4 linked regions of the Schizosaccharomyces pombe genome follow. The protein of the gene in region 1 binds, or shares a complex with, the protein of each later gene. Each region holds a gene or a part of one and is shown in the gene's direction. Other genes may lie near its edges. The genes, in order: SPOM_SPBC3H7.04, cox24, rsm19 and mrps17.

Region 1 (5,509 bases):
TCCCAAACCATTTCGACCGCCCGAAAACAATCAATACCAATTAATACTTACGACATCATTGAGAAGAAATGTTATAAATAGACCTTAGCTAAACTGAAGGAACATATACTCTCAATTGCAAAAATGGTTACTAAAACCGATGTATTACGGTTAGTTGTATTACAAAAATTTATTTAAAATGTATGTTAGTATGTCATCAATTATTCATGCTTCTTGTCCTTGATTATTGTTATATATCTTTTGAGCGCACATCAAATAAATTAAACGGATTGGTAATTACAAAACAGACATGCTGAGTTTGTGTAAAAATCATCGCTAATTCTAGGTGGTATATTTAATCTATCCTATAGAAGAAATTACCTTTACTCGTTAGTAATGTCTCGTACCATTGACACAGTCTAATACATTAGCAATTAAAAAAGACTGTGGCATGGCCTGTAAAAAATACGCATCTAGCTCTTATTTTGGATAAAAATAAATAAATATGTGACTTACTGAAAAAATTGTACCAGGGTCAGATGAAACGTTGAAAATTATTCGCTTATAGCCCTGATCACTAATGGCATGTAATCCAAAACTAGTGGATAGTGAAACAATCTTCTATTTTAACTATAACCAGATAATATTAAATTTAAAAAAAGTATCCGTAATCCATAAATCACTTGTTACTGTTGTGTAGAGCCTGAAATTGCAACAAGACCGGGCTTGGCAGCATGTATGCATACTTGGGTTATTCCGTCTAAGTTTCAGCAGTTCTTCCTTAATATAGTAGTAATCTTTTTGTCTCAAATCCCATATTTCTTCTAGCTCAGCCCCAATGGTAGGTATTCTTCAAAAACATTTGTATGCAGCTAGTTATTCCCTATTTCGCTTGTAAGCATATGAAACAATCCCAGTAGCCTCGGCTAAAAATAACCTTAAACTTTTTTTTATTGCCAAAGCAGCTTTTTGAACGATGAAAGAAATGAAGCTTCGAAAAAAATGCAGTGCACTTACAATTTTAGTTAACTAAAACTAAAAATAAATGGTAGATGTTTCCAATCCATGAACGGTGTTATGAACCTGTATCAATTCCTAATTAATCGTTAGCGTATGGTTTCATAAACGATTAATCACGAATGTTTAGATCAAATTTGAGTAAGCTTTTGAACAATTAGGCTGCAATCTAAACGGTTACATAAAAAATTTGAGGGTCTCTTGAATTACTGAGACAAAAAAAAAAATCGGGCTGTTGTGGGAATCGAACCCACGACCACCATCACCCTAAGATGGTATCATACCACTAGACCAAACGGCCACAATTGTCATTTATAAACGTTTAACATATTTACAGTTCTTTCACATAAAAGTTGTGATCATTCGAATATTAAAGTTATTTTTCTTCTTCTCAAGTCAATGAATCTTCTTATAAAAGACGAAGTAAATTTGATTGAAAATGAGTCATACAGCTTACTTTTAAATTGAATCATGGTCATATTGGGAATAAAGGCTTTTATAATCCACCGTTTAAACCCGTTGAACGCTTTAAGATTACTTTCACAATTTTTTTTGGGAAACTTGTTAACAAATTCATTGTAATACTAGTTAAGTTTCAACGAAGTTTTAGATTTCTGTTAATTCAACTTCAAAAATTTATATAGTGGTATAATGGTATATATCGCAACAAGGAATGCAGAACTTTCATACCGATATTTTACTTGCGCCAGTAGGGCTGCTTACCTCTCTCTGAGCGGTCTGAGTGGAACGCCTTTACCAATATTGAAGTTGAAATATTTCAAACATTCAAAAACGTAGCATCTACACTATTTGATTTTCATATTTTGTTAATACTTAATGAATTAATTATACAGTTTGGTCGTCTTTGCCAATTTCTTAGGATTACAAAATTTAAACCCGCATACTTGATTTCCATTGCAGTTTTTTATACCCATTCCCTAACTATTACCTCAATTTAACAAATGAGTTTTCAACAGCGCTTCGCCAGAGCGTTGGACGTGGGCTACAAGAATTTTTTGTCAAAAGATGCGGTCAGGAATATCTTTGCTTATGACAACCACTTACGAGGCCTAGTACAAAAAGAATGTAAAATTCATCAAACTCCGTATCGTGTGCCTTCAGATTTAATGGTTCAAAGCGCTAGTGACCCAGCCCGCGCTAATTTATTCAATTACTCTAGCCAATTGGTAAATCATGATTTTTTCTTTTCCGGCCTTATTTCTCCAGAACGGCCCTCTGCAGATGCAGATTTAGGAGCTATCAACCTAAAGCCTGGAATTGATGCATCCTTCGGTTCATTTGGTGAGTTGAAGTCTCAAATGGTTGACGTTGGCAATTCAGTTTTTGGTGATGGTTGGCTGTGGTTGGTATATAGTCCAGAAAAATCTTTATTTTCCTTATTATGCACGTACAATGCGTCAAATGCCTTTCTTTGGGGAACAGGATTTCCTAAGTTTCGTACCAATGCAATTGTACCGCTTTTATGCGTTAACCTTTGGCAATATGCGTATCTTGACGACTATGGTTTAAATGGTAAAAAAATGTACATTACAAAATGGTGGGATATGATCAATTGGACGGTCGTCAACAATAGATTCCAAGCTACGCGCATTGAATCCCTTTAGCTAACCCGACTGAATCCTGCACAATTTTCAATCTTTTTCTACTTCTCTCCCCTCCTCTCCCGGCTACGTTTTGTATGCAAGTGATCATGGTGGCTTACTATGGGTTCACTTTATCTGATTGAAAAAACCCATACTATTAACAAATCTTATAAATAAATAAAGTTTTGTAATTACTGTTGGCAAAGAATGAGAATTAGAATGCTAAATGTAATGTTTCCCTCTATATATTATTTAACATTCCAACAATATCTACGGAAAAGTTAATTTAGTTGAACCATCCATTAAATGTATAAACTAGGACACATAGCAATTATCTGATACTTTAGAGGTTTCGGAAGGTCAAACATAGACATTAAACAGTAAATTAAATTTGCGAGCATGTTTTCCACTTAAATTTTAATAATACGACTCCCATACCATATGTTCCATTAATAAGCATTTCGATTATTAGGACCCAATAATGATATTTGCGCAAGAGGGGAATCCTTTTTTCAAGATTAATAAGGAAAGGTTGAATTAAAAGCTGAAAAAAGAAAGCAGGTGAACAGCGTCCAGAAATTGACCAATAGGCAAAGTCATGGAATAATGCTGAAAGGAAAAAACATGAACAACTTGCCAGAAACTTACTTCCAGTGAGGGCAATAGTTGGATCCCAAGCAATCACTCTGAAATAGGGCTTGGTACAAACATGCCAATCTCTGGACCAAAAATCATTAACCGAGGTGGTTTTAGATACATTTCCCATCATTAATGGATACTCTGCAATATCCCAAATTCCCAGAGGAACAAAAATAATGGCGAATAAATAGTACAAGGCATTAATAAACAAATATGAAAAGAATCCAGAGGTTACGCAAAATGCGACTTGAATATACCATGGGTTGGCTGATATAGGAAGCAACATCCAATTGGATAAACGAGTTTTAAAACAATTGACAAAACAAAATGCACCCACATAGACAGCAGTACGTATCCCCAAAGATTTGTAAGTCAGCACTTTTCTACAGTAAGGGGGAACCACGTCGTCAGTCCAACCATACTTGCGCAAAGAAAGTGCATAATCAACAAAGTTCCACCTAGCGTTACGAATGAATGGTCGACGACGCTTAACAGCGCTGATTTGTACAGGATCGTTGCGAGAAGGTACCATATCTCGCCAACTCAAAAAGCAAGTTCGAAGCGACATCATAATGAGAAAGCCATATGCCAAACCAAATGTAGAGACATCCTTATAACCAACATGGTGATAGACAGCACACATGCGATACGCCAGTATAACCGTGATGGAACATAACAAAGTGCAGGCGATTTTCCACCGGCGAAAAAAACAAAAGGTTTCGACAAGGTATGTAGCTAAAGGGAATAGATTGAACAGAAGGATGTTATAAATACCTGTGACTGGAAGTTTGGAAGAAGGATCGAAAGAAAATGGATACATGAAAGTAATTGAATTTTAGATCGTGTTCGTAGATGATCAAACGCCGAAAACTTTATAGTGGAGGAATAGGAAAGGAAGAAAAGCAAAAAAGTAAGAAAGAAAATTCGCAGTTAAAACAAAAGTGAAGAAAAAGAACAGATAGGGTAAGACAATACAAGCAACACTAGACGAGACAAGACAAGACAAGGCGAAACAATAAGAAAAGGCAAACCACACTCTATATAACTATGAGACTTTATTTACAATCAATCAGTCAACCGACAAAAATATGAAAAAAAGACAATAATGATAAAAGAAAATGACAAAATGCTTATTGAAAGAAACAAAGAACAACGATGATGATGATGATGATGATGAAGGCAAAGAAAAAAAAGTGTTATAATATAGTTGTTAACAAAAATAAATCAGACACTGTGGAATTACAAATAAATCAGTAATACTTGCTAATTGCATGAAAAGGAAAATAGCATCCCGTAATCTTCAATTGCCCTTCAATCAATCCACGATTTTTTAAATCTGGAAATTTTCGCACAACAGATTTCAGGTACAAGGTAGTCAACCCAACAAGAAAAAATCGTCTCTTAAGATCGATTTCTGCCTGAAAATACCGGTTTTCTCGACACCTGGATCTGTAAACAAAACCCCCAAGTTAGGGTCGCCAGAAAAAAATGGGGTGGTTAGGAATATTACAAACCACCAACGCAAACGACAAATAGAGAGCAAGAGCCCAACAAATTTTGACCACCGAGGATTTAATATGAAAATCGGTAACCTTCCTTACAGTCCAAATCAATTAAAAAAAATAATAATGTTTGGTAAAAACTCGTCGTAGTAGCACAGTAACTTAATTCACAGGGGTCAGGAATATAAATTGGTCAATGTGTGTACTTTATGTAATTGCGATACAGGAAGAAGGAAAAAAAATTTTCTCACTTATTTAATCACCGTTGTGTTTTCCTTGTGCTGCTTTTTTTTATAATTGGCTTACCTAGAGGAATTAGTAAAAATAGAGATAAATTCGGAAGTCCGAGGTGGCCGAGATATTTATTTATTTCACTTACTTAGCGGACAAAATAAAATCCTTCTCTAGTGCGCACGCGGAAATTAGCTTACCAAGCAAAGTTGATCACTATTTCACCTAGCCGTCCCTTTCCAAAGTCCGAGTCGCAGGGGCAGCTAAAAAGCGCAACGCTGGAACTCTGGATGGTCGGATGATAGAAAAAGTTGTAATTGGAGGCACATTGACTTCGGGTAAAACAGATTCCGAAATGGCGAGAGCAGCACTTTGCCATCCGCCGGCTGCAACTGAATAGCAAGTTCCTGAAAAGTGAATTTGATGTGGAATGGAAACGATGTTGCGTGCGGTGCGTGGATCAGAAACAATGCTGGGATCAGATGTCTGTTCTTGCAAATGAAGAGAACCCAAACCTAAACACCCACAATAACGTAA
Region 2 (5,786 bases), on another chromosome or scaffold:
GAATTTAAGAGACGCAATATTGTTTACAAAAGCCATGCAATGGAAAGTGTTGGTGAACTGTTATCTGATGAAAATTATAGAGAGCTTGATTTGTATGAACTATCATTAAATGAATGTGGTACATTTTTGCAGAAGGAATGGTTTGATAAAGATGATGAATTGAATCTTGAGGAAAAAATTGCGCTTCAGCGCAATAGCGTCTATGCCATGTTTAATTCCAGCAGACCTGGAAATAAGAATTGTAATGAGATGTTGCTAACTTACTTGTCAAATGCCCTTGATGAAAATTATTTACATTGGAATGTGAAATTAGCAATTCTGAAAAATGCTCCTCACTTAAAAAAGATAATGTCTAACGAGGAATTCTTACTGTATAAAGATATTCTTTATCGTTGTTACGAAGACAATCCGTCACCAAAAGCAAAAGATTATGCTGAAGTCATCTTCGGCGAAAATTATTTAAGTGTTTTAAGAAATTAGCTTCATTATATTTATAGCTAGTGATAAAGCTGATCAGCCATTTGAACTTTCTAAACACTCATTTCTAATGCTAACATTGTAAAGGATTAATTAAAGAATATTTTATACAAACCTTTGACTAATGTATTCATATTTGATTTTAAACCTAGAATGTAAGCGATTGATGTTGAAAATCCAATAACGATAATAATAGCTTTTACAACAAATAAACAACAAGTGAAGAATACTAGATGCCAGTCACTTGGTTTTTTTTTTTAAGATTCTTCAACTTCACGTGCTTTTCTAGCGGCTAATTCTTCGGCCTTTTTTTGGTTTTTCAAGTATTTAGCCCTCTCTTCGCTCATTGCTGCAAACATCCAAAACTGCCACATCAAATCGCAAAATGCAAAAGTAAAAGTAAGGCTGTTGCTAGCGATATGCTCTTTTTTGAGGTAAATAAAGCCGGTAAGGATAAAGTCAAATATAGCACGAATTGGAGTAATTCCACTGAAGAACAGGAAATTGCTTTGTAACAATGAGATAGTATAAATCATTCCAAGAATCAAAAATACCAAGCCGGACAATGCAAGAGTCGATAAGTTGTCTTGTGTTACTATCAATGGTTTCTAAATTATAATGGTCAGATATCACTTCAAACATTAATCAAGAAATTAAAAAAAAAAAAAAAATACTATCTACTAAAACAATAAAGTTATAATCACATACAACTTCCATAGAAGCACCAATTAACGCGACCAGTCCACTTTCTACTACAAACTTGGGATTCCATAAAAATCCAATGCCAGCAAATGTTAGCATACAACAATAAAAAAGAACTATCGCTCGAAAAGAGAACAACATCGTGAAATCAGAAGACGACAAATGAGCAACTATTAACTTCTAGAGACTGTACTCCGTGGTTTAGAAAGAGAATGTAAAACTAATAAGTTTTTTTCGGAAAGAAAATGTAGAGAGTTTCGATGAATATTTCGTTCGTACTTTTGTTTTCTCAACGTCGCACCAATTATATGCACCTGATTTTTGCTATTTTACGGTAGTATCAAGCTCTGGGAAGTATGTACTCTCAATTAATGGTTATATTACGATAGTTGAACTTAACTTCACTATTGTTGCTAGTTGCCAGCGCTCGCTATCTGTATTTAGAATTAGAAGGTGAATTGAATTGAGAAATATAATCAATATAACAAAATTACAAGTATACGTTTGGTTTTATTTCTTCAAAGTTATTTTGGTATGAAAAAGTGAGATGCTGACAGATTTCAAGTCAAGAACTCTATATTTTTTAAAACCACTTCAACGAATTTTAGGATCTTGAAAAGTACATCATTTTTACTAATTATAGGAGGGTATTTTCAAAGGATATATTGTATGTAGCATCTAAATAATTTTTATGAAGGTCTCAAAGGGTTGACAACGGTTGTTTTTGGAAATACATTACATTGACCATAAACTGAAACGATGTATTTTACAAAAGGCAATTCAATTTTACAAACTTTCAGCTAAATATAAATTATGCCAGGATTCTCGTTCATTTGACTAGAATGTGTGCTTGTGATATTTGTTCTCGCATTGGTAAGTGCCCCGAAACCTCTTTGTAAGTGGCACCGTACCACAAATTGCATACATACAATCTATTATATCAGATATACAGTTTTATCTTGGGTGGTAGATAATAGATATATAATTTCCAATTCATATTTATATTGTTTTACCGGTTGATTGAAATTTGCCAACCAATTTAATAAAAAGCGTTTGTCAAGATGCCAATAGATACACCGTTGATACCCCATAAACCTATTTCAAGATATCGCTCTGGTAGATTGGAAGGGCTGGAAAGTGAGTCTTCTTCTGAAAGTGATTATGAAGAAGTTTCCGATTCACATGATCAAGAAAACTCGATTTCTTCATCAAGACATGTTATTACTCCAGTATTCGAGAAAGAAGGAATATCTGAAACCAAAACGTCTTCTAATTTCCAAAACATTAACCCAGTCCAAACAATTGATAACTCTGCTTCAGAATATGAGACTGACGCATCATCGGCAGAAGGGGGATCTAACTCTGCAGCATCTAGTTCTGAAGAAGAAGACTCTTCTGATTCGGAATATGAGATGGAGCTGAGAAGGCGGACACTTCTTCTTCCGCCAAAATTTACTAGTAAAGTCATCAAAAATCGGGCAAAAGCCAATGAAGAAGATACTGAGGTGCTTAAAAAAGTGACTTCACAAAAAATATTAGAAGAGACTATAAAACGGGAATTACTATTGAAAGAAACTAAAAACAATAATGAATTATTAAATGATATCGATGATACCGATGGAATTGATCCGCAAAGTGAATATGAATTATGGAAATTAAGGCATTTGCTTAGGAAAAAGAGAGACAAGGAAAAGTCACTGGAATTAGAAAGGGAAAAGATGGCAATTGAAGAAAGAAGATTAATGAATTCTGAGGAACGCGAAGCCCAAGATTTGAAGGACGCTGAAGCAAGTCGGAGAGGAAAGAAAAAGTCATCTATGCAGTTCTTACAAAAGTACTATCATAAGGGTGCATTCTATCAAAACGAAGATATTGTGAGTAAAAGAGATTATTCAGAAGCCACAGAAGGGGAAGTTCTTAATAAAGATTTATTACCCAAACCTATGCAAATTAGGGGAGATCTTTTTGCGAAGGCAGGCCAAACACGCTGGACGCATTTGGCAAATGAAGATACTACAAAAGAAGGATCTGCTTGGTATGATCCTAAAAACCCAATCTTGCAAAAAAATTTGCATCGTCTCGGTGGACTTCATTCTGACAGCCCACTCTCGAAGCGAAAACGTACCTAACATCTGTATATACATAAGGACAATTTTGTATTTCATTTAGCATTAATTTTATTTAACATCACATATATATTTAAATACAACATTCTTCTGAATTAATATCAAATGTGCACCACCCTTCCTCTTTGTAAGTGTTTAGCATAAGCATACCAATTCTTACCTTCCCGCAGTGCAAAGAGTACAACACATTTTTCGCCTTGGTCACCCATGTTACGAAGAGGTGCGCTTTCCACAATATTAAAAGGTTTAAACGGCCTTTCACTGCGTAGTCCCATACCGATTTGGCATGTTTCAGCTTCTCCCGAAGTTGGGTCGAAATATAACCTACCAACGGTTCCTACAACTTCACACGTTTCATATCGTCGTAAGTAAATTAAATACTTCTATTTCTAACTTCATTGCGTAGAAATCGCAAAAGCAAATTTCTTTGCTGGATATCGACCTTTGTCAGCTAATCAAATATGTGTGCCTAAAGTTGAGTCCAAAACACAAGTTTCGCAATCGCAGGATGAGGAAGATCAACCCCAGGAATATGTGTTATCTTTAGAGGATGGCTATTTGTATGCTCAATCATTCTCTGCATCTGGATCCGTAACTCAAACTCAACCCGCTCGTATATCTACTCAAGTATGGGAACAAATATGTGATAAGCTGATTTCTATTACACCTTTAGATTTGACCAGTGTCAAACGAAAAAGAAAATTGAAAATGAATAAACATAAGTTCAAAAAGCGCTTACGCCGACAACGAGCACTTAGGAAACGTCTAGGAAAATGAGATTATTAGAACTTATTTTTACTCGGGTTATATTTTTAGGTTGGTTGGATTGAGAGTTTAAGCTGTAAACAAGCATTTTCAAAATGGCTGCAAGCATTTATGAGTCTCTATTTTTAACTTGGATATCAGTACCTCTCTTTTCTTAAGAAACGTTTAATCATTTAATGTTTACTTCAGGCTTTTTTAACAAGGAATACATTTTCTCTCATGTATATTCTATCCTTTAATGTTCCGGTATGAGACAATTAGGTCGGTGCTTTTTTCTTGCGATAAAATCATTAAACAATCCGCGTTTATTTAACTATTTTCAAAAAGCGGAGCACTTATTTGTTTATGCCGGCTATCTCCTTCATATCAATTAGCTTCCCATGTCTAGTACTATTACAATACCTCCATCTTTGGCCCTTCCTTTTTATATTTTTAAATATTTGTCGATGGCTAGAATTAATGACATGTACACTTCATGTGAATCATAAATATGTTGTTGTATATCAAGCAATTAATAAACGCTTATTACACTGTATCTGTTTACACATAGAATAAAAGAACACATTGGTATGAAAAATAACTTTAGTAGTCGAAATTATTTCCTTAAAACAATTTTGAAAAAAAAAAAAAAAATTTCTACATTTCTTTCTTTAAAAAATGTTCTCACTGATTATAGCTAATTACAATAATGAAATGTAACGTACTGACGACTGACATAACAAATAACAACATAAGGAATATTGAAGAGCGTCCAACTGTATAATTTTTAAGGCTTTTGTTAATCTTGTCTTAACCGATCAAGTTATGCCAACATGCTTTCTAGAGAAGAGCAAAACCGGTGTTTCGTTCCTGTCCGACGAATTTTAGACAATGAAGACTTAAAATTATTTAAAGAAGGAGATGCTTATAAGTTAATTGATTCGTTTATTTGTGATCTTGACGAAGCTGTGAAAGACAAGCCTATTTCAGCTTCAATTCCGCAAAGCTCATCAATAGAGCATGTATTAAATATACTAGATCGAGTTGGAGAAATTAAACAGGAAAATCCTGCAATTGATAATATGGGGTCGAGGTTTGGCAATCCTGCATTTCAATCATTTTACGATCAGGTATACATTGAAACACCAAAGTTGCACCAAGTATTTGGAATTGAGCATAATGCGGCGATGGAGGCAGGTCGATATTTTTATGAAAGCTTTGGAAACAGAAAGCGAATAGATTATGGAAGTGGTCATGAACTTTACTTTATGTCATGGTTACTAATTTTAAAGCAACTAGGCATTTTTACTAAAAATGATTATCCAGCATTGGTCGTTCGAGTTTTTGTTAAGTATGTTGAATTGATGAGGTCTTTGCAAATTTTTTATACTCTCGAACCAGCAGGATCTCATGGTGTATGGGGATTAGATGATTTTCATTTCCTCCCTTTTTTGTTTGGTGCAGCTCAGTTGGTTAATCATAAATATTTGCGTCCCAAACATGTTAGAGATCCAGAAATTTTGGAGATGTGTCGCGCTGATTATATGTACTTAGGTTATGTTTACTTTTTAAATAAGTTGAAGCCTTCTGTTTCACTACGTTTCCATTCTCCAATGATTGACGATATTTCTGCCGTAAAGACTTGGTCTAAAGTCAACGAAGGCATGATAAAAATGTATAGAGCAGAAGTTTTGGGTAAACTTCCTATAATGCAGCACTATCTTTTTGGCCATTTAA
Region 3 (5,722 bases), on another chromosome or scaffold:
TCCATTATGTTAAGTAAACACTAATCATAGATCACAAAATTGAACACGAAAATAATTGATAAGAAAAATAGAAATTAACTACATTCAGGAAGTATTTTTCAGGTACATCAATTTTTCAAGAATGTCAAAGTGATGAGTTTTATATACAGTTATTACGCATACTATTATAGTTTAATATCCTTAGCATACTGCTTCGATATTTAATTTATAACTAGTTGCTATTTCCAATATAAACCAAATTTTGAAAAGTATTCATATAACCTCATTCACAACTCCTTTAGTATCAAAAATAATGTCAATTTCATTTTGACAAAAATAGTAAAACAAAACCAAATGCGAATATGATTCTTCCCGAATATCCACAGTCCCAAAAATAAAGATAAAGCAGCTTTTGCAATAGTTTTCAAACACCTAATTCTTTCAAAGTGGCACCAAGCACCTAACTTAAATTTCTGATTCGGAAAGCAGCATATTAGGAATTCCTTCAAATATGGGGTACACATGTCCACAATTCCCGCAAACCATTTTCCCCTCTGTGATTTCAGTCTAGTAGTTAAGGTTAGAACACAGCTGAACTTTTTAGAATCATACCTCTAGTAAAACATTATGAAGAGATTTCAATAGCACCTCATCGGAATCATCAACAAGATCGGGCTTTTCATCAGGTAAACTATAATTACCCAACTAGTTATGGTTAGATTGGCTTAACAACATTGGATTATGAAAATTTTAATCCGACACAACATATCATTTCTTCATCAATCCAACTATAAGAGCACAAACCTGTCTCGTTGTCTTTAACAAAGCATTCCAATCGATTCTGGGCATAATTCCAATAAGGAACTCCGGTTTCAATTCTAATTGTTGAATAGCCAATTTCGCATCAACCACATCCAACGGGAATGCCTCAGGAGAGCTTGTGCATTTTTTATTAGAACAGTTTAAGAAGTTTGCTATTCATTAGATAAACTGACTTGTGAAGTTCGTACCTGTTAGTAGCTTCATTCTTTTGCTTTCAAGTATTTAAGAAGTTGAATAATTTATTTACAGCCGCTTTTGTATTTCAAAAGAAAATATAAAGATTTCTAATATAAATACTATCAAGTCGTCGAAAACTCTTAAATTTGCCAGTAGCTATGGTACAAAAATTTTTTAAGTAACGTCAGGTAAGCAACACTTGATATATGTATGTTAAGTCAAAGTTATTTATGCGTTAGGAAAAACGAATGTTGACAGATTTGTTAGATATAAACAAAAGATTTAATAAAGCTAATCATTTTGCAAAATTAGGAGTCAATCTTCTTTCCTTTTTTAAAATCTCAATTTTACGTAACAGTTGTAGGTTACTTTTTTAGTTAGTGTACAAAAAATTCTTTAAGTTGACGACAGAAATAATTAGGGAAGTCTCTTGGTTAAAAAGAGTCTTGCACGGATACATCCATAATTACAAAGAAAGTGATTGCTGCTTTGAACTTCTTCGCTTTTGGTCTGCTATTTATTAGTGTACTGCAACCTAAAATTTATAAGAAAATCTTTAGTCTAAAGTCCACGTAATTGAAGGTAACTCTAATACAGGTGAAACTTAATGATCAGAATCCTATTTTATTTTTCTAATGAACTATTCAGAGGCTGTGACCGCGGATCCGTCTCTATTTCCCTTTTTGCTAGAGGCTATAGTAAAGCTAGATAAAGGTTGCTCCATTACTTGTAGCATGTAACGTAAACTTGAACCCCATTTAGCTAATTTTTCGTGTAAAGCAACCCATTCGTGCTTACCAAAGACACGATAGCTGCTACGGTGAATGGATAACGTTTTAGTCAACTGAGACATGCGGCCTTCAACAAGTCCAGCACGAATAACATCAATGATCCATAATTCTACTTCATTTTCATCAATCTTCAAACTCTTGGCTACATCACCATAGGATAATGTATTATTGGGAGCCTGGGTAGCTAATGAAGCAATAGTTAAAAGTTTCATCTTACGTGCAATTGCATCTTCATCAAATTTTTGGTGTTGGCAATGAGCATGGTTTTCGGCAACCCAACTTACATAATCGTCGGTCATCCCGCCGGACAAAATACCAAGTAACTGTAAAGTACTTTGTTCAAGCTGCTGAACGGGTGGAAGGGTGACAATATCATCAAAGAAAAAGTACTTAGGGCTGTTAACAGCGCGTTGAACTAATTCGCGAACCGCCTCGTCAGCAGTTGAGTTGTCCATTTTTACGGCTTCCAAAAGGAAAGCAAATGATTGCTCATCATCGTATGATTGAATAGCTTTAGAAACAAAAATATTAAATGCCCGATGGTCCGATACACTGACACCAGCTTCTTTAAGCCAGTCAGGGAAGTATTTCAAATTAGGTGCAAGAGTGCTAAACAAGGAATAACGGGTAGTGAGAGTAACAACACTAGTAAGAATGCTTAAACGTGCGTGTTGACGTTCTTTGACGGCCGTATTAAATAAAATGCTTAAGACACTGAGTATGGCAGGAGTGAGATTGTTGTTTTGATCGGCAATCTGCTCTAAGGCTTGGCAAAATTTAGAAACATGATCTTCGAAAGCAGCAGATTCTTGGATAAGATTAATAAAGACGGCTAAAATAGGCTCGAGTTCTGTTTCGTGTTAGTAATAGCATGGAAGAGAAAATAAGCGAAAACTTGGAAAGCTGCAAACCAAACACATCAGCTCATAGTATACTTTCAGAACTAACAATATAACAAATGCCCTTTAGCACTTATTAAAATAATTCTTTAATTTCCTAGCCTAAAACTATTTTGCATTACCTTTCTCAGGTGCTTGTGCCAACAATGGCAAGCGAGTCAGAAACAGATTAAGAACTTCTTTAACATTTTCAGAAGCCAAATATTCTCGGCAAAGAGCAAGTACATTTTTATCGGTATTAGCCTCAAGATTATCCAAATACATAGCCAATTCTTCCACCTTTTGAAATTTCGTTAGTTGAAAAAAGTTTTACCAAAAATCGCCGAGTCATTAGCGACATACCTGTTCCTCTACGGAAGAGTCAACTACCAAAATAAAATCAGAGCCTTCCATCTCTGTTATTAATACGAATCTAGCAGACGAGAAATGCAAATATTCGCTGTTAGTGGTAGTTGGAGAGTAGGACTTGGCACCTCCACCTCGTTCAATGGTTAAAACGAAGTGGAAGTAACAACACCAGGTTGCTACCTCACATTTATTAACGATTGCTGCATTAGCAATTAACTAGCTTTCTAACATTTCACCTCATGTTTTGGACTAGTGTAGCCAGAGCTCGGTCAGTCTGGAAAGGTAAATGAATATAAATATACTTGTTTTGAAAATAATTTAGAACCTGTTATTCTGACATTATAGGACCCAACGTGGTCGATTTCGGTGTCAACGTTCAGCAATGTATTAAAGGAAACGTTCCTATAAAAACAGCTGTGCGATCTGCAACTATTTTACCTAGAATGGTTGGGTATGATACTCGTATTTAGCAAGTGTGGACGTTAACTAACTAAATTCTAGTGCTCAATTTATGGTTCATAATGGTAAATCATATGCCAATGTAAAAATTACAGAAGATATGATCGGGCATAAATTAGGTGAATTTGCACCTACCAGAAAAGCATTTCATTACAGACAAACTAAAAATCGGTAATTATTTTGGATTCTTGGCGAAAACTGGGCTATATGGCCTATTCAAAACACTTTTCACATGGATTCATAACTACCAAGAATTTCAAGTCTGCCTCAAAATTTCAATTCGTGACTTTAAATGGAGCTACCATATTAGTATTTTGTAGGACATTTCCTGTAAGAAAGCGAATATATAATTCGCCGAATCTTTTCATTACTTTCAGGCTTTTAATGACAGCACTTCTTCCAATGGATGTACTTGCACGTATAAATGTATGTATGAAAAAGTGATATGATGTTGCATAATTTTCTGTCAATGTTTTACAAAAGAATTTTGCATTCCCCTACTTGGATTTTTTATTTTTAAATTTGAAACGCAATGGCTTATGTGTTTAATGTTATTGGTTGTACTTATTTAGTAGTCTGTATAATGAATAATTAACAGCATCGAAAAACCGAATGAACCCGATATCCCAAAAGAAAATGAAAAATTAATAATTGAAAGGCAATACGAAAAAAAGGATCTTTGGAAGTGTCGTTATAACAATTGAATAACTCATTTCTTTTCGTTTTTCCGACCCGTCTTTTTATCAGCTTTGTTATTGCTGATTTTTCTGTCAGATTGTTTAGAAAAGACGGCTTCGCGCTCGTGCTAACGTAAATAGTTAGTAAATTGACTGAAACTTGAAATCAAAATAATTCATGGAAATACTTACAGCCACTTGAAGTTTAGATTTTATTTTATCGTCAAGCTCATAAGTAACTTGATTGAGAATATTTTGAAGGTCATCCTGTAACAGCAATTAGTTAATGAACAATGAATGTGGAAAATGAATAAATAGATGAAGGAATGCCCATCAATTAAAATCAAAAAGTAAAAAAACAAACAAACCAAATCAGATCAAAAATTAGATTACATGACTCAAAAAGCGCAGCAAGTTCACTTAAAACCTTATTTGTCGGATCTGGTGGTAAAGAGGAACGAATGCGGAAGAATAGGGTTCAGGGCCTTGAAAGTTTATAAACAAGATTTGTAGGATTTATATAGAGAGATATTTATCATCGTAACATCTACCACACTGACTTGAGATTTTTGTTGTTTAATGTTTTTGAATATTACTTGTTGAGTAAATGGAAGCATTTTCAACATCTATAATGAAAGAACATGGATGTGAGAATGAATTACCTTAGTTTCAGCAAATATTTTCCCCTTCTTCTTCCCCTTTTTCTGAATCTTAGTTTGGGGATTTTTAGAAGTGTTTAGCTTGGGAAGGTCCAAATCCTCCACGCGAATTTGCTACAAAAAGAAAAAGTTAGAAAAAAGGGTTCGATTTTACCAGTAAAAGTAAACAAAGAAACATTTAAAGAAGAGAAAAGAAACTCCCCTTTTACATGGTTCGTAAATTGTGAAGGAAGAAGGAGCATACATTTTTTGGTTTAGATTTTTTCACGACCATTTTCTAAATATAAAAAGTCGTAAAATGATTTAGCAAGGCACAAAAGGATAGAAGAAATGCAAACGTTAAAGATCCAAAAACGAAATTAGAATGAAACGACGAGTAAGAAACGAAAGCAATCAGCTAGAGACGAATTGAATTTTTTTTTGTACGGGCAGTGAGTGTTTGCAACTAAACTACCAGTGCGCTTTACGGGACTTTCGGTGAGATACGGAGTTTTGCCGGAGACAATTTTTAAGGAGATGGTCTCGGAGTTGTGCCGGTGGTCTATAGAGGAATCGGAGTATTGTCGGTGAAAATCGGAATGCTGTCGGTGAGGTTGTCGGAGATTTATTGAATGTGTAGGAGGAGGCTTCAAACCCATATACATACATACATAAGATAATAGAGATGCATAAGGATGGAGATGAAGGGAAGGAGGCACGGCTTACACAGTGAAAAAATGGAGAAGCTAGAGTGGAATGGGAAAGGGAAGCGTAAGCGTAAGCGTCATACAATGACAAACTGCAATTCCAGCTTGATACAAGAGTTGCATGGATCGATGTGTTTTCATCCACTCTAGCATCCCCATAGTATGATGCGTTTCGATTTTCATTTTCATTTGCCTAGCCCTATAATTCCTCATTTCCTCCTAATT
Region 4 (4,956 bases), 710 kb from region 1:
AAGTATCAGATGCATTGCTTCCCATGGAGTATTTTGAAGATCATTCAAGCAGACGCTCACAAATGCAGCAACAGGTTATTCGCCAAGAATCATCCATTGATCCCAATAAATACATACTTGCTGATTTCTGCAATCCCTTTTTCAATCCTAGCACCTTGAGCATCTCTATTCCTTATACAAAAATGAGTTTCTCAATAAAAAATTACTATAATGGTCAACCTTTACGATATTTTTGCAAAACTAGAGATGGGAATGTCATCTTTGCTGTTGAATTTGATCTGTAATTTTGATTAATACCTCAAGCCAACAGCAGTGGATAGATGGCAAGTGATGTTTGCTAGGCGAACGGTATTATCTTTTTTTTTTTTGAAAAACTTTTGCTTTAATCGAAAAGATAATATGTTGGTCACAACTACTTTTCACAATACTTTTAGCCCTAATGTCTGCTCGTTTGCTATAATGAAAAAGACACCATTTTGATCGTTTACATCTCGATATATTTATTTGTTGTTAGATTCTCTCTTTTGAAGGATTATTGTTGTTCATATACTTAACTACTTGGCTAGTTAAAAAATAAATAATAAATAGCATTCCTAAAAAGTCGTTATGTTTACGACTCATTTACTTGACTGTATTCCCATCTTAGAATTGAAATTTATAAGTCGTCTTTTGTTGTATATAATTTAACTTAATACATGGAGTATTGAGAAATTCAAAGAGTTTTGTCATTTGCTTTTTTTGGCTATGGTTGACCATCCTCCCGTATCTAACCAGACACCAAGGTGCAAATGTGTTCTGTTGAGAAAATTGTGAGGTTGAGGCATAACTTGTTGTGTCACGTTCGAATTCATTTTAAAACAAAAGAAGACCTTGATATTCGGGCTTTCCTTTTTTCCCTACAGCGTGAATTGCATGCAGTTGCATTTCTCAACCAAGGATCCATCCGCACGCTCTACGAGAAAAGAGTAGTGGATATTACGAGTGAATCGGTCCAAAGCCATGCAATCATCGAAACTGCTAGAAATTTTGCACTACCAAATACTGCTGAAGAGGAGGAAAACATGGATCGAAAGCCAGAATTGCAGTTGAGTTTTAAAGGATCAATGACTAGTAAAATAATACATATTTATGTACAACCATTCGATTCATGAAAGAATGTATTTTGCGCCTTTTTACGTCTGCATGACTAAAATACACTCTATTTACAGCCTAATCTCATAAAAAACAAGTATTAAAAATTTGAGAAGTGAAAAAGCTGCTCAATTTAACTCGTATTCGTATTTTGGCGGATCACGTTCTTCTATACTTTTAACTACATCTTCTTATGACACGGATTACAAAGGCTTAAAAAATATAAGAGTTATTTCGATCCCAATTTTCAATTTTCAAACCAAAAACTTGAATTTTTATTATCCCCCAAAATACAAAAAAGATAAAACCAATTGCTCCCAGCAATAATGCTCATTTAATGATACCAAAAGATATAAGAATAGTACATCCTCTTTAACGACGTCTTTTCTGGACAACGGTGAATCCATCATCATCAACAATGGGTCCCTGCTGCTTTTCCTGCTGATTTTGAGCAGCTCCTCCATCCTCAGCATCAACAATCGTTTCGTCTTCTACCAATACCGGAGGATTTGACTCTTCTCTAGTTTTTTCCTTTCCTTCCTCCTTTTCAAGCAATTGTTTTCCGAGACGCTCATGGATTTCACGAATAGGTTCATAATTATCTTCGCAAGCAGCTTTCCACACATTAACCAAATCTTGAGCCAACTAAATAGACTGTTAATAGACGTATCACTTGATAATTATTTTAAATGCTAATAGAAGTAAAAAATTTTTAATATAGACAACAGAACGCAATATGTGTATAAACTCGAGCTTTTGACTAATATTCCAATATTTCGTCCTCAAACTTAAATCATTTTTTCGGTGCCAATATATATATACGAATCTTCAGTCTCAAGCAAGCTTGTTACGTTCTTTCTTGTTTGAAAAAAATCTTTACCTAATTTAGTATTGGTGAATACTTACGATATAGGGTGAGTCGTCTTCTATTGAACCAACATTGAATTCATCCTGCAGGACTTGAAGAATCAATTCTTCAACGTCCCATGCTTCCACATCGCTCGTAACTGTAATATAATCAACTAAAACTCCTGCCATCCAGTCTCGTTTATCGGCGGTATCGACATCGGCCCATTCTTCTTCAACAGCCTGTTTCATAACAGGCCATGAACATAAAAGAACACCGACAGCATATTCAAAATATGTCAGTCTCTTAGATGGGTCGTCAAACATGGCGAAAACACAGTGTCAATAACCCTCGTTCTTCTTCTCTACAAAGTCACCCTACCATAAAGTACTTTAAAATAAAATACACATACTTTTCCGATCCTCGTTATGTTGTTTATCACATTTATATATTATCATTAATTGACTTAAGGAAAGCTTATTTATGTTAAATAATTATAAGGGAAAAGACGCCGCTTCATTGCACATTTGTAAATAGGGCAATGTCAAAACTCTCTACTGCTAAAACGGTGCGCATTGATAACTTAGTTATTGTGGGTATTTAAAGGATTAGACTTACTTACTTTTCTTGTTTAATCCTAAAATTACTCTGAAGAATGAAGCTAAATTATGTGGGAATCGTGATTTCTCGTGCAATGCCAAAAACAGCGAAAGTGCGGGTTGCAAAAGAAAAGTTCCATCCAGTGGTGAAAAAGTATGTCACCCAATATCAAAACTATATGGTTCAAGATGATTTAAATTGTAATGTTGGAGATGCAGTTACAATACAGCCATGTAGGCCTCGGTCAGCGACTAAACGCTTTGAAATCATAAAAATCTTAAGCACAGCCAACCGTATGAGCCCAGCATCGGAGATTTCGAAAGAGTAAATAAAAAATCCCCATTAATTTTTGATGATTCCTAATGATTTCGATTGATCCATTGTGATAAGTCTTTCGCGGTGGTCATGAATATTGTAAATCGGTGATTGACCGCTCTTTCTTAACTTGCCAATTACCTGTATACACCGATATCGATTTTAACTGGAAATTTTTACATTCACAATGGCTACGTAATGTTGCAAATTGTAGATTGTGCATCAGAAGAGTCTCAAATCACATTCATTTCTAAAAGAAAACTACTCTTGTAGTACCATGTTTCCTGCTCCCAGCATTCAATGCCTTTAAATTTGTTTACAACTATGTCAATAATACTTCTGTAACATCTTTTTTTGTAAAAAGGGCAAGTGATTGAACAAGATGCATATAGACAGTAATATATTCAAAATAAAGCTTACAAAACATAATAAGTTGGGATTAAGTCTTAAGCAAATTTAAAACATCGTATACATTAACCCATAGCTGTATATCTTAACAAACTGGGGAATCATGAAAATACGTTGCAAACGATTGAATGAAAAACATACTTGTTCAACTAAGACGGTGCTCATAAGAAAGCGACAATGTATAAAGGATCATGACTAAAGCTTTAGCATGTCAGTAGGTCCTTTCGAAGAGCAAAACAGTCAGTAGCATATTTTATTAACAAAAAAATGAGCAAAGGATTCAACTTAATTAATACAAAGCTTTCAATCCCATCTCTACAGCAGCTGATCCCCAATCATTTCCATGGTTATGGCCACCATTCAAACCTGCACGATAAAGAGCTTGCTCTTCATTTAAAACTGTTAATAGACCTAGAATGACGGGAACACCTGAATCAAGGCCAACGCGCATAAGACCATGAACAACAGCTTCTGAAATATATTCAAAATGCATGGTGGAACCTTTGATTAAAACGCCAATGCCAATAACAGCATCATATGTATTGCGGGCGATGGAAGCACGAATACCTTGAGGAAGTTCCCAACTTCCCGGAACACTTTCAATGTCAATATTCTCCAACTTCACATCATGTTTTTCTATCATGGTCTCAACGGCACCCTTAACAAGAGGCTCAATGGCTTGAAGATTCCAGCGGGCATGGACAATAAGAATGCGCAATTCTGGTCCCTATAAAAAAAATTGATTAGAACTTTTGAATTAACTATTTTCACGAAAAAACTGCGTGAGAAAGAGGAGAAATTTAAAAAAAAAAAGACCAAGCGCTTTTGTAAATAGAACACTTAAGCAATAATTATATCGTGTAGAAAATAAAATAAAATTCGGTATTCAGAAGAAAAGGTTCAACTAAAAAAAAAAAACATATCGAACTTCTTTTCATGGATATAAGTGAAAACAAGCAGCGCTAAATAGGAAACGCAAAGAAAACACCGCAAGTTCATATTTTTGATTCATACCTTTAAGTCTGAAGGGTTAGGGCCTTTAATACCACTGAACATGATTATTTACTTGATTAAATAGTTGTGAAGACTATACAGAAAAATGCAGCAAGTTTGGTGTGCGTGTGCTTTATAAGCTGCAGCAAGAACTGATTTACAGAATCAACAGATCTAATACTTAAGGTTCTAGAAATGTTGATTTCTAATTAATTTTTTAATTTTAGTCATGAAATTACTATCTGATGAGGCAGGTATAATACTGGAACATAGATTACTAATAGTCACCCCATTAACGTCGTTTATTAATATGTCGAGGCTGTCGTAGATGCAAATGTCTCATTTTTACTAAACAGTTTGTTCATTTGAACAAAAAGAAAGGAAAAAATAATGAATAGTATCAATAAGCAAAACGATGAATACACACATTTCCAATTTTTTTTGAAGTTCGGATTCAAAAACCGTTACAATTTAATAAATGTCGAGTACATTGATTTATACAGTAATCAAATATTCATTAATTCTTATTCAGATCATAAAGAGAATTTCATCCGAGAACGAATGGCACACTATGGGTTTCATCACACAATATCATAATAGAAACAGAAACAATAAGTATTAAACCAGCGAATGTAAGAAGATTCAGAAATAAATCTTTTTAA

The links.
Region 2: SPOM_SPBC3H7.04 (region 1) and cox24 share a complex: the UniProt entries of both Schizosaccharomyces pombe proteins name them as parts of the mitochondrial small ribosomal subunit.
Region 3: SPOM_SPBC3H7.04 (region 1) and rsm19 share a complex: the UniProt entries of both Schizosaccharomyces pombe proteins name them as parts of the mitochondrial small ribosomal subunit.
Region 4: SPOM_SPBC3H7.04 (region 1) and mrps17 share a complex: the UniProt entries of both Schizosaccharomyces pombe proteins name them as parts of the mitochondrial small ribosomal subunit.

Annotation. Positions count from the first base shown.
Region 1 is NC_003423.3:1,873,009-1,878,517, reverse strand, and holds SPOM_SPBC3H7.04 (mitochondrial 37S ribosomal protein mS42), read left to right. Parts: upstream 1-1,736; 5' UTR 1,737-1,958; coding exon 1,959-2,621; 3' UTR 2,622-2,864; downstream 2,865-5,509. Other genes in the region: SPOM_SPBC3H7.05C (uncharacterized protein), read right to left, coding at 2,986-4,059; F-box protein Pof9, read right to left, coding at 5,198-5,509. UniProt on the Schizosaccharomyces pombe protein: Component of the mitochondrial ribosome (mitoribosome), a dedicated translation machinery responsible for the synthesis of mitochondrial genome-encoded proteins, including at least some of the essential transmembrane subunits of the mitochondrial respiratory chain.
Region 2 is NC_003424.3:4,759,567-4,765,352, forward strand, and holds cox24 (mitochondrial 37S ribosomal protein mS38 ), read left to right. Parts: upstream 1-3,476; 5' UTR 3,477-3,512; coding exon 3,513-3,669; exon of another isoform or gene 3,670-3,711; coding exon 3,712-4,082; 3' UTR 4,083-4,656; downstream 4,657-5,786. Other genes in the region: proteasome assembly chaperone Ecm29, read left to right, coding at 1-480; SPOM_SPAC1782.02C (uncharacterized protein), read right to left, coding at 735-1,085, 1,186-1,320; splicing-associated factor Saf3, read left to right, coding at 2,241-3,308; ypa2 (serine/threonine-protein phosphatase 2A activator 2), read left to right, coding at 4,883-5,786. UniProt on the Schizosaccharomyces pombe protein: Component of the mitochondrial ribosome (mitoribosome), a dedicated translation machinery responsible for the synthesis of mitochondrial genome-encoded proteins, including at least some of the essential transmembrane subunits of the mitochondrial respiratory chain.
Region 3 is NC_003424.3:383,683-389,404, reverse strand, and holds rsm19 (mitochondrial 37S ribosomal protein uS19m), read left to right. Parts: upstream 1-3,234; 5' UTR 3,235-3,255; coding exon 3,256-3,298; exon of another isoform or gene 3,299-3,361; coding exon 3,362-3,467; exon of another isoform or gene 3,468-3,517; coding exon 3,518-3,650; 3' UTR 3,651-4,184; coding exon of another isoform or gene 4,185-4,280; 3' UTR 4,281-4,344; coding exon of another isoform or gene 4,345-4,419; 3' UTR 4,420-4,519; downstream 4,520-5,722. Other genes in the region: methyltransferase complex regulatory subunit Trm112, read right to left, coding at 445-546, 592-684, 784-953, 990-1,005; tif313 (translation initiation factor eIF3m), read right to left, coding at 1,619-2,619, 2,791-2,947, 3,011-3,061; pre-ribosomal protein Loc1, read right to left, coding at 4,185-4,280, 4,345-4,419, 4,815-4,925, 5,056-5,085. UniProt on the Schizosaccharomyces pombe protein: Component of the mitochondrial ribosome (mitoribosome), a dedicated translation machinery responsible for the synthesis of mitochondrial genome-encoded proteins, including at least some of the essential transmembrane subunits of the mitochondrial respiratory chain.
Region 4 is NC_003423.3:1,164,882-1,169,837, reverse strand, and holds mrps17 (mitochondrial 37S ribosomal protein uS17m), read left to right. Parts: upstream 1-2,540; 5' UTR 2,541-2,633; coding exon 2,634-2,906; 3' UTR 2,907-3,318; downstream 3,319-4,956. Other genes in the region: protein duc2, read left to right, coding at 1-284; DNA recombination protein Saw1, read left to right, coding at 789-1,151; rRNA processing protein Tsr2, read right to left, coding at 1,504-1,776, 2,038-2,304; rib4 (6,7-dimethyl-8-ribityllumazine synthase), read right to left, coding at 3,591-4,028, 4,316-4,357; protein mim2, read right to left, coding at 4,953-4,956. UniProt on the Schizosaccharomyces pombe protein: Component of the mitochondrial ribosome (mitoribosome), a dedicated translation machinery responsible for the synthesis of mitochondrial genome-encoded proteins, including at least some of the essential transmembrane subunits of the mitochondrial respiratory chain.